2 linked regions of the Arabidopsis thaliana genome follow. The protein of the gene in region 1 purifies or fractionates together with the protein of each later gene. This does not show direct contact. Each region holds a gene or a part of one and is shown in the gene's direction. Other genes may lie near its edges.

Region 1 (4,796 bases):
GGGTTTTAAAAACGAATCCGGGTTTTTTTGGTTTGGTTTTGACCGATAATATGGTTTCGTCTCGGGTTTACGTATCAAACCGAAGTAACCACGATTCGGGGACATTAAGCTCTTGAACTTTTAATTGGTGGGGAAATAGACGTTTAACTTTCATTTCATGGGTAAATAGCAAGAGGTCAAAGATCGGGCTTCATCTAGCCAGATGCGATAGTTCCCATGGGGAAATAGACCGTTTTTCCGTAATGTTCTGATGTTAAACAGAATGGTTTTATAACATAACAGTTCATGTATGTATGATTTGGTTCTTACCGGTTAAGTAGATAATGTATGGTGAAAATGGAAAACGACGTCTCTCACAACAAAAAACAACTAAAACCCAAAATCTCGACCCAAAACCGAATTTAACTTCAAATTAAGTAAATATGGCCCGAAGTTATAAGCCCGAATAACAGAGGCCCATTATAAAACCTGGAGCACAAGTTTCTCGTCTATAAGTGCTAGGCTACGCATAGGGCTCCGTGGATTTGTTCTAAGAGGATATTCTCCGTTGATTTGCAATTGTCAATTTCCAAGCTTCAGAACTAGAGTTCGTTCGTTCACGACGTCACTGTGGCTCTCGCGGCGTGGCTGTTACTTTCCGGTGGGTGAGGTACGGTACTTGTTATCTCTCTCCGAAACCCTAAGTAGTCCTTGGATATGTATCTTTGCCTTTTCTTATATTTACGTTTAGGAAGATAATTCGTTTTCTTGGTAGTTTACCCCTTGTATAAATATAGTCATATAGAGCTCAGGGTCAAGTGATAATCAACACATTCAATCGATCTCTTTGCATCTCTTGTCATCAAGGGTTAACTTTATCTATTATTTTGTGTTTCTCTTTGTATAGAAAAGAGATGTCGAGTGATTTGCAATCGAACTCCGGCAGATGTACCTCCGAGGACTAGATATTATGCGGATAGCTCAGCCCGTTTGGTTTTCATGGAGGGGCCTGAGATGGAGAGAAAGATGATGACAAGCTATGCGGGAAACCCAAAGTACTCCTTCTTCTGGAGCTCAGATCGTTATCATGCTTATTACCAGAAAAAGCTTGCTGGATACCGTGCGCAGAATTACATGAGGGACCTGAGATCAAACTTAGTGATTATGGGATACCTGATGTTCCATTGAGGGTGAGGGTAAGGGAACCACCGCTTCAGATTCCAAAACCTCCTCCGGGCTTTGCTAGTGACCAGAAGCCGACAATGAAGTATCCGCCTCCACCACCTCGCAAGTATGCAGCTATACTCCCTGAATGGATTACTGGCAAAGAGCTTGAAACTATCAAGGAAGGGGATATGGACGAGAAACAGCAACGATAGCTCTTAAGAAATCAGCTAAACTCTAGCAAAAACACGTGGATTGCTAATATGCTTTATAGGTTATAGGTTAAATTTGTTGAGGTATAAAACAGTCATTTCAAAAAATCAAAAATTCACGATTAATTTAGCTATTGTTTAAAAGTTTAGATATTAAATAATATTTTTCTCTTTTATAAATCGAAAATGTTTGGATATTAAATGTATAAAAAACTAGAAAAGTAAATAATTGGGCGTTTCTCTTTATTTGTTGTTTCCCTCGATTAGCCGATTGCGTCTGCAAACGCGCCAACGGCTACTTTTTCTCCGGAGCCGGAGCTCTCAAAGCTGAAACCCTAAATTTTCCCGGTATCTTCCTCATCGTCGATTTTACTCAATTTAGAATAAAAATCGGAAAGCAATCGAATTCTAGCGACGTGAATTAAGAAGAAAGAGAGAGGCGCGATTATTGAGTGGGTTCTGAAAAACCCGAAAATGCCGGAGCAGCCAAAGAAAGTTGCTGATAGGTATCTCAAGCAAGAGGTTCTTGGGCAAGGTACCTATGGAGTCGTCTTCAAAGCCACTGATACTAAGGTCATATCTTTGCTGATTTTTGTTTGCAAAATTAGGGTTTAGGATCTGTCGGCAATTCCTAATTTCTCCTTCTTTTTTGGTTCCGGATTTTGATTGAAGTTTTTGTTGGATCAAGGGGAAGTAATTGTGGGGTGTAATTTTGCAGACGGAACAAACTGTAGCAATTAAGAAGATAAGGCTTGGTAAACAAAGAGAAGGTGTAAATATTACAGCTCTCAGAGAAATCAAAATGCTCAAAGAGCTAAAGCATCCTCATATTATTCTGCTCATTGATGCATTTCCTCACAAGGAAAACTTGCATCTTGTCTTTGAGTTCATGGAGACTGACCTCGAAGCAGTTATTCGCGATTCTAACATTTTCCTCTCACCCGCCGACATTAAATCCTACCTCCTAATGACATTTAAAGGACTTGCTTATTGCCACGATAAATGGGTTTTGCACAGGTACATTTGTTTATCCTTAACAACTTGCTTATTGTCTCTGTAATGTTGCTTGGTTTGGGCACTGATTATGTGTGGCTTGAGTTCAGGGATATGAAGCCAAATAACTTGTTAATAGGAGTTGATGGACAGCTTAAGCTTGCAGATTTTGGCTTAGCACGTATATTTGGTAGTCCAAATCGTAAGTTTACCCACCAGGTATGCCTTTTGCCGCATTGCCATTTTATCTATTGCTGTAATATAACCAAATTGATCGACTAACTCATATGAAATATTGATAAGAAAGTTTTAAGTAGTTCTTATCAGTAGTTATGTCTAGGGATGAGGAAGATTAGATGTCTCATGTCTTTTCATTTCTCTAGTTGTATACTAAATGTAACATGTATTAAACAGTCTCAACTCATATTAAATGATGGTGCAGTAGCTATCTCATATCTGTACTAAAAGTTTTGCTGTTAACCGGATTTTTGACCTGAGCTATTTCTGCCTTCTTTGTTTCCCTTTGAACACCCAAAATTACAATAGAATCCATGTGAGCTCTGTTTCCAAATGCGCAATGCAACTTATTTTCTCTTGTTTCTAGTTGTTATATTATCTTCATATCTTGATATATCTGATAATGCACAGGTGTTTGCTAGATGGTACAGAGCACCAGAACTTTTGTTTGGTGCAAAACAATATGGTGCTGCAGTTGATGTTTGGGCCGTTGCCTGCATATTCGCCGAACTTCTACTACGCAGACCATTTCTTCAGGTTAAATAATCTTACTCAAATCTAATGGCTACCATTAAAACTTTAGTCCAATTGTCATCTCTTTGGATGTTATACTCACTCTCAGACTACATAATTACATATTCATTATCAATTTTCTCGGTATGTTTACTTATTCTATTTTTGCCGTTGCAGGGAAACAGTGATATTGATCAATTAAGCAAAATATTTGCTGCTTTTGGGACACCAAAAGCAGATCAGTGGCCGGATTTAACAAAGCTTCCAGATTATGTAGAGTATCAATTTGTCCCTGCACCGTCTCTACGTTCTTTATTCCCAGCAGTTAGTGATGATGCTCTCGACTTGTTGTCCAAAATGTTTACCTATGACCCAAAGGCTAGAATTTCCATTAAGCAGGCTCTAGAACACAGGTGCCTAATGTTCACCATCTGTTTATAGGCAAAGTATATCTAGCGTTCTGCTCTCACACCTTTGTTTTCATTATTTCAGGTACTTCACTTCTGCACCTGCTCCTACTGACCCGGCTAAGCTCCCAAAGCCCGTTCCTAAGCAGGATGGTAAATCATCTTACGGTAAACATGAGGCCATTACAGTGCAATCACCACCACGTAAGCTTAGAAGAGTGATGCCTGAGCGTGGGAGGGTTGATAGTTTGAAGTCTCATGTTGACAAGGATCAACAAGCACCCATGTCATTAGATTTTACCATCCTCGCTGAGCGACCTCCAAACAGGCCAACAATCACCAGGTAAAAAACAAGACAGTTTCTCCCTCACTGCATATTAATCTCATTTGTCATTACAGCCTCAAGATTGATTGTGTTTTAATGACTTCTTCTTGTTCAATTTGTAGTGCTGATAGATCTCATCTGAAGAGGAAACTCGATCTTGAGTTCCAGTAAGACTGTTGGTTATGCACTCTTCTCTTAGCTTCTCCATTTTCATGTTCTGGTGAAACCACACCATTGTTAAGTTGTCAATTTACTGCTGCTTGTGTAATCTGGCGATTTATTCTTTTCCATATTTAGCTTGATTACAAACCAGAGGGACCTTAGATTCACAATGATAATATTTTGTTGTCCCATAGGCTTTTTATTCATTGTAAACTGATCATACTGTACTATGAAGTCTATGATTATAAAGCTTTCTACTTTTTGCTTCTAGAATTCTTTGCGGTACAAAGAGAGCTCTGTTTAATCTTCAAACTCATTTTTCTTTCGATGGTGGCCCCAGGAATTTAATTGATCCATTGACAGCTCAAAAAGATTTTACCAAATACCAACAACAGGTTTATAAAACACATACGAGCCAGAAAAACAGATGCCCACATGTCAGTCAGGCTCTTCTTTAGTCATACCCGCTTGAAGACTATCACGATTGCTGTGCAGTTGTCTTTGCAACGACGTTCTTTCACAGCTTCCTTCACAAGACGGCGACTTACCGTGCTTACATGCAAGCCCTCCTACAAAATCATAGTTCTTAGCCTCTTAGTTTCTCACATTTAATTTCCCTTGACACTCTTTACTTGTGTGCACAAGGTTCTAACAAGCCATTTTGCTCACATGGCTACCGAAAAACATCTGTTTTTTGAGCTTCTTTCTATGTAGTTAAAGAGAGTGTGAAATGGAGGACAAAGTGATTTTGACAACTGTAGGTATTTACCTTCAAAAGTTTCTGGACAAATCCAACAGCATCAC
Region 2 (7,009 bases), 2.0 Mb from region 1:
TCTTTACATTTTTACTAAGCAGTTTCTCCTCAGAGGTTGAGATTATTTATACTTGTAATGCAGCCGCACTGTTTGCCAGAGGATTGAAGCTGAAGGTGCAGTATGGTTTCTTATTAATCTTCTGAAGCAGCCAGAGATCTCACTAAACGTTACAGAACACGTATGACTTCATTTTCTTCTTCCTTTGTTCTTTGATATCTTTGTCTAGGCTATTATGGAATAACTGGACGTGAAATGGTATTTTGTGAACTATGTTATGCAGGTTCTGGATATAATTGCTCATATCTTAGATCCTAGCAAGGAAATGGAATCCAAGGTGTGTTTATTTTCCAAGGTTGATTATTATACATTAAATCTGCTTTCATTTGGCTTATGCTATTTCTCTACATGCTACAGTTTTATGAAGGACCGGTGAACGGATCAAAAGCAGACTCCAGGTCAGTCTTCTTCTCGATCTTCCTATCTTCAGCTCATTCATTCTTTTTGTTTTTTTAGAAGTATTAATTACTCAAAACATCGGATGGGAATGAACAGAAAGGAAGTTCTGGACGCTGCTGTTTTTTCTCGGCTCGTCCAGATTGCGAAAACAGCCTCTCCGAACCTGCTAAGAAACGCAATCTCTGTCATCGAGTTTGGTATAATCAGTAATCCAAACATGGACACGATCATCTCCAAGGATATCACAACTGTTCTTGATCTTGCTCTCCGGCAGAAAGTCCTGGAAGGTACAAAACTTATCTTTTGATATAACTCTGTTTGAATTTTATAACAGCATACAATACTTTTTATGGAAATGCAGAACCTGAGAATGAAGCTGAGGAGTTAGAGAAACATCTGCTTAAGCTAGAAGAAGCTGGTTTGACGATTTCCGCTGCTTCAAGGCTACTGACAAAACTTCTTGACTCCGAGTCCTTTCGCCAAACAATAGATACCGCGGTCTTCATAGAATTAGTAAGGAAGATCCTAAGATCAAGCCTCCCTCTACACTACAAAGACTGGGTTGCCGCTTGTCTTGTCAAACTCACCGCTCTCTCCTCTCCCTCTCAATCCCTCAACAATCCGATCAATCTTGAGGTAACTCTGTACAAAACGATCCCGAGCCTCGTGGAACAAATGAGCTTTTCCTCATCACCAGAAACGAAAGAAGCAGCGGTTTTAGAACTGAACAAGATAGTCTCCGAGGGAGTTCCAGAATCTATCCAAACACTTGCTTCACAAGGAGGTATCGAACCGCTGGTTAAGCTTCTTGAAGAAAGGAACGAGCGGTGCGTTGAAGCGAGTTTGTCAGTATTGTACAACTTAACCATGGACAGTGAGAACCACACAGCCATCATAAGAGCAGGAGCTGTACCAGTATTGAGACGTATCGTTATGTCTCAACGACCACAATGGGAGAAAGCTCTTCGGTTACTCAGAAATTTACCCGTTTAAGACATTTTTACAGATTATTGTCATGTAAAATTTTGGAATCAATTAGAATAATATAATGTATGATTTGTCATGTGAGACGAATATACGAAAAGTTAATTACATTAAGATAATCGGATTACGTAGCACGTATATTACTATTACCATATTCTAGAGATTACACATGATCAATCAAATATTTAATCTTTGAAATGTTACGCAAGCAAAAATGAATTTAAAATCTGAAAATACAATCCAACGGCTGAGATTTTCTTACTGTGTCAGTGAAAACGAGAGAAACGTTCTAGTTCACTCACTTGGTTACACGTGTCTTGGGATCGTTTAGCTTTTAAGCAAGCTTCTCTTTTGCGTAATTTATTTAAGAGCTGCTTGCTTTTATCATCATCACTCTCTCTGCGTCCAAATTTTGATCTTTGTTCTTCTCAAAGCGAATATGGTTTTCAAGGTTTCTACCGTATCCACATCTCCTATTGATGGCCAGAAACCAGGAACTTCTGGTCTTCGTAAGAAGGTTCGTTGATCGATCCTTGTCTTCTGAATCAAACGAAATCGAATTGTTGCATCTGGATCAGATCTGTTTAGATTTTCTTGAGTGTGATTTTGAAGTGAGATTGACCATCTGATTAGATTTGATCTATGCATTAATCTATATTGATTAGTGAATGATGACAAATTTTAAATTTCGTTTTCGTTATTTTATTTGGATCAAGTTCGAGATCACGTTTATTATATTTGATTTGAGTATATGTTTGGGACGCTTCTATGTGGTGAATGTTGATTTGATAGAGCTTGAAATTACGTTTTTTGAGTTGGTGTAGCGAAATGGAGACTATATGGATTGAATTTGTGTATAATTGAAACTAGGGAAGAGCCTAGTTGTTATTGTCAGATCTTCGTTTAACGTATATACGATCTGCAATGACGTTTATTGAGACTCACTGATCAGATCTGTTTCAGATATTTTGATAAAAGAAATTTGGGTTGATCATTTTATCCAATCAATCGAGTGTCGATTGTTTGTTCTACTCTCTGCAGATATCAAACTAGCATCTTTTTGTATCTCTGATTAGTATTTTTTTTTTTTTTTCTAACTGTGTAGGTGAAAGTGTTCAAGCAACCCAATTATCTAGAGAATTTTGTCCAAGCAACATTCAATGCTCTTACGGCGGAGAAAGTTAAAGGTGAGATTTTTTTCATACTCATCTTAGCTTCTCAGAGATATCTGCTCATTCGAAAAATTCATGAGTGTTTATTGTTCATATGTGCAGGTGCCACACTTGTGGTCTCTGGTGATGGTCGTTATTACTCAAAGGATGCTGTTCAGGTAAGGCCGATGATATTCCCTGTCTTCTGGATCTGTGTGAATGTAATTGGCGTATCCATAGAATTATGAATTAGTGCTCATGTATTTACAATGTTTTGGAGGGAACTCCTGTGTTAGGAAGGCCTGCTATTATCATCAATGCCTTGCTTATTTTTCTTTGTGTTCATCTCTAAAATTTGCATCGAAACCTCTATAGAGAGATTAGAGGTTTATAGAAGTTAAAGTTTTGTTTGACTTTGAAATCTCTGAAACTTAAGTTTGTTTGATCTACTCCTATTACAAATCCGGTTCATACTGTTACAGATGAAGATGTTTTACTGCTTTTCATACAATTTTATTTTGTATCTTAACAGATCATAATTAAGATGGCAGCAGCTAATGGTGTACGACGTGTGTGGGTTGGTAAAAACACTCTGTTATCAACTCCTGCTGTATCAGCTGTGATTCGTGAAAGATCAGGGGCTGATGTGAGATTTCTTTCTCTATGCTCATGGTTGTAGTGACATTTTGTTTTTTGTTTTTTTTGGTTATTTGCTATGTTTGTGCATGACGCAAAATGTAATGATGGTTTTGAGTTACTTAACCCCAGTCTCCGATTACAGGGATCGAAAGCAACTGGAGCATTTATCTTAACAGCAAGCCACAATCCTGGTGGCCCTACTGAGGTCCGTTCTGTTCTTGTTCCATCTCTACTGTGCTATCCTTTCATTTGAACTATTCGTTTTGTATCTCTTTATTTGTTCTTTTTTTAATAATAAGATATCTAGATGGATAATAAGACTAAGAGGTGATTCCATACCCCTTGTACAGGATTTTGGAATCAAATACAATATGGAAAATGGAGGACCTGCTCCTGAATCAATCACTGATAAAATTTACGAGAACACTAAGACAATCAAGGAGTACCCAATAGCACAAGATCTACCCAATGTATTCTTAAGAATCCTCTTATAGATTTCCATCATCTGTCTTTTGTTGAATCATAGTTGATCTGGTCTATCTGATGAATGCGACAGGTTGATATTTCTGCTGTTGGTGTAACCAGTTTTGAAGGACCTGAAGGAAAATTTGATGTTGAAGTTTTTGATCCCGCAGATGACTACGTTAAATTAATGAAGTGAGTGGTCCCTCAATTTAAAAGCATGATTCTGGAATCTGCTCCCTCTATGGTCTATGTGCAATTTTTATGATCTTTCTAAAGAAAAATTCTCGCTCCTTCAAGGTCAATCTTCGATTTTGAAGCCATCCGGAAATTGCTATCATCTCCAAAGTTTACATTCTGGTATGTAACTAACATTGGTTCCCAAACCTTTTCCATTTGAGTTAAGTTTTGTAATATATGTTCCATCACTGTAATGTTATATTTTACTTTGTTTTATGAAGCTATGATGCATTGCATGGAGTTGCTGGAGCCTATGCACATCGCATCTTTGTCGAAGAACTCGGTGCGCAAGAAAGCGCATTATTGAACTGCACTCCCAAGGTCTTATTTTTGTCTAACCAAGAAACGCTATTCCATAAATGATTACAAATACACCTCCAGGCTCAATATTTACCACAATACAACGATTTGCAGGAGGACTTTGGAGGAGGGCATCCGGATCCCAATTTGACCTATGCTAAGGAGCTTGTGGCACGAATGGGATTAGGTAAATCCGACACTGGAGGTGAACCTCCAGAGTTTGGCGCCGCTGCTGATGGTGATGCAGACCGTAACATGATCCTTGGTAAAAGGTAGCTTACTGACGTTTTCAAGAGAGATACATCCATGGAACTAGTATACCAAGTACTTTTAAACTTAAAGTATCTCTTCATTTGTAGGTTCTTTGTAACTCCTTCGGATTCAGTTGCCATAATTGCTGCAAATGCTATTGGTGCCATCCCGTACTTCAGCTCTGGTTTGAAAGGTGTTGCAAGGTATTATACACCTGGGCTCTTTTTTTACTTCTAGTAGAATTCTGTGTATACAACTCTTTTAATATATCTTTTTTGTGGATTATTTTGTAACTTCCACTTCTTGTTTTAGGAGCATGCCAACCTCAGCTGCTCTTGATGTCGTTGCAAAAAGCTTGAATTTGAAGTTCTTTGAGGTACATGTCACCGTGCAACTTCTATCCAGCTTCTTTTCTCCTAACTACATAATTTAATTTCATATCTCTATTAAATCACATATCAGGTTCCAACAGGCTGGAAGTTTTTTGGTAATCTGATGGATGCTGGGATGTGTTCTGTTTGTGGAGAAGAAAGTTTTGGAACTGGTCAGTTTCTATTTCCACACTCACACATCTGTTCATAACTTTAAAACAACCTATACAGTTCTGAAAGAAAGATCTTTCACAGGCTCGGATCATATCCGTGAGAAAGACGGAATATGGGCAGTTCTTGCATGGATGTCTATACTTGCTCACAAGAACAAGGGAAATATTGACGGTAACGCTAAACTGGTGTCAGTTGAAGACATTGTCCGCCAGCATTGGGCTACCTACGGTCGTCACTATTACACTCGTTACGACTATGAGGTAAAAGTTGCTAAGTTTGGTGATTGTAATTATACCATATTATATGGAAGAAACAGTACCCTTACTGACATCTCAAAATTTGTCTCTAAAGAATGTAGACGCAGGTAAAGCTAAGGAACTGATGGAGCATTTGGTCAAATTGCAATCTTCAATTCCTGAAGTTAACAAGTACACACACTTCCACTTCTCTGAAATCCCTTCCTTTTATACTTGAACACGTACTCATCAGTTTGGTACTCTGTTTTTCTAACCTCTTCTTCTCTCTTGATTTTATTCAGGATTGTGAAAGGAATTCGTTCGGACGTGGCAAGCGTCGCCAGTGCTGATGAATTCGAGTACAAAGATCCAGTTGATGGATCCATTTCGAAGCACCAGGGAATCCGTTACTTGTTTGAAGACGGATCACGACTTGTAAGTCATCTTTTTCTTCGGTATTTGAGCTTGGATACATTCCAGCTAAGAACAAAGTGATAGAAATCAAAACTAACTAATCCTCTCTTGTTATATCTGAAACCATATGAAGGTTTTCCGTCTCTCTGGAACTGGCTCAGAAGGAGCAACCATCCGGCTTTACATCGAACAGTACGAAAAGGATGCTTCAAAAACCGGCCGAGAATCCCAGGAAGCTTTGTCTCCTCTGGTCAGTTGCTTACTATAAAACCTCAAATCCATAAACTGTTTTCCGACTCATTACCATTTAGCTAATACCAAAGGGGTTTTCTCTAATCAAATACGTAATTGTTGATGTGTGATTCACAGGTTGACTTAGCTCTAAAGCTGTCGAAGATGGAAGAGTTCACAGGCCGATCAGCCCCCACCGTCATAACATAAGAAGGGTCAAGCTCAACGACTCAAACCATTCACCTTTTCGTCTATATGATGTTTTCTTCTTATACTATCCAAGTTACATTATAAGAATAATTAGTCTCAGGGAGAATTTGTATTTCTCATCAGAATTCTGAACAACCAAGACTGATTTCTTGAGTTGTTGTGAGGCTTATACTTGTACGGATTTGGCTTTCTCAGTTTTGTTCTCTCTTGTTTCCGTATTTTGGCGAGTATACTCTCTTAACATCTAAGTTCATTGATACCTCAAAGCATGCTACGACCATCCATTGACAAATCTCAGAGTTGTCTAATTACTTCAAATGGGTACTCATGAAAATGCACCCTCTCGTGTTTTGGTTTGATGTTGCATGGTTTTCAATGCATGATACCATAATATATGGACGAAAGCCATTTTTTATTACTTCTCTTTTGAAAAGTGGGAGAGACGTCGAACTTGAAAACGAAAGAGAATAAATGGAAGATTCAATATATGTATGTGTTGCTTTCGAAACGAATATAGAGAATTGGAACAAGGAAACCCAAAGATTTGGTTAGAGTCGTACACAACCCTAATTCTCCCACCGGACCTTCCATATCTAGAACGAAGCTTCATTCAACTTTCTACTCCACTTAAACCACACTATCCTTTATTTCGTGTAAGTATATCTTTCTTATACTCGATTTCTTTCTCTTTTGAGTTTTAGTATCAAATATTTGTATCATTGACCTATCAGTATATTTCAAATCCAAATTCAGACATAATGAGTTCTGTCAAGTATCAATAACATGTGACTAATTGAGTGGTCGTATAAATCATATTCATATACATAATATATGAACGTGAGAAAAAAAAGAATTTGATTATATAATCGTGCAATATATTTTGTTTTCTCGAAAAAGCTATGCATAT

The links. The genes of interacting proteins can lie anywhere in the genome.
Region 2: the proteins of CDKD1;3 (region 1) and PGM3 purify together in Arabidopsis thaliana (affinity purification with mass spectrometry, with the first as the bait; one large-scale study listed by BioGRID). This does not show direct contact.

Annotation. Positions count from the first base shown.
Region 1 is NC_003070.9:6,206,333-6,211,128, reverse strand, and holds CDKD1;3 (cyclin-dependent kinase D1;3), read left to right. Parts: upstream 1-1,600; 5' UTR 1,601-1,829; coding exon 1,830-1,928; intron 1,929-2,073; coding exon 2,074-2,372; intron 2,373-2,458; coding exon 2,459-2,567; intron 2,568-2,667; exon of another isoform or gene 2,668-2,983; intron 2,984-2,996; coding exon 2,997-3,122; intron 3,123-3,275; coding exon 3,276-3,511; intron 3,512-3,590; coding exon 3,591-3,848; intron 3,849-3,952; coding exon 3,953-4,001; 3' UTR 4,002-4,258; downstream 4,259-4,796. Other genes in the region: AT1G18050 (SWAP/surp RNA-binding domain protein), read left to right, coding at 574-644, 887-1,167; AT1G18030 (Protein phosphatase 2C family protein), read right to left, coding at 4,451-4,561, 4,762-4,796.
Region 2 is NC_003070.9:8,218,085-8,225,093, forward strand, and holds PGM3 (Phosphoglucomutase/phosphomannomutase family protein), read left to right. Parts: upstream 1-1,723; 5' UTR 1,724-1,861; coding exon 1,862-1,939; intron 1,940-2,527; coding exon 2,528-2,609; intron 2,610-2,696; coding exon 2,697-2,752; intron 2,753-3,105; coding exon 3,106-3,219; intron 3,220-3,354; coding exon 3,355-3,417; intron 3,418-3,562; coding exon 3,563-3,682; intron 3,683-3,768; coding exon 3,769-3,869; intron 3,870-3,974; coding exon 3,975-4,034; intron 4,035-4,135; coding exon 4,136-4,235; intron 4,236-4,328; coding exon 4,329-4,486; intron 4,487-4,573; coding exon 4,574-4,669; intron 4,670-4,778; coding exon 4,779-4,842; intron 4,843-4,928; coding exon 4,929-5,010; intron 5,011-5,092; coding exon 5,093-5,271; intron 5,272-5,362; coding exon 5,363-5,439; intron 5,440-5,549; coding exon 5,550-5,682; intron 5,683-5,794; coding exon 5,795-5,911; intron 5,912-6,030; coding exon 6,031-6,102; 3' UTR 6,103-6,463; downstream 6,464-7,009. Other genes in the region: AT1G23180 (ARM repeat superfamily protein), read left to right, coding at 64-160, 263-316, 397-437, 535-725, 800-1,431. UniProt on the Arabidopsis thaliana protein: Catalyzes the reversible isomerization of alpha-D-glucose 1-phosphate to alpha-D-glucose 6-phosphate. The mechanism proceeds via the intermediate compound alpha-D-glucose 1,6-bisphosphate.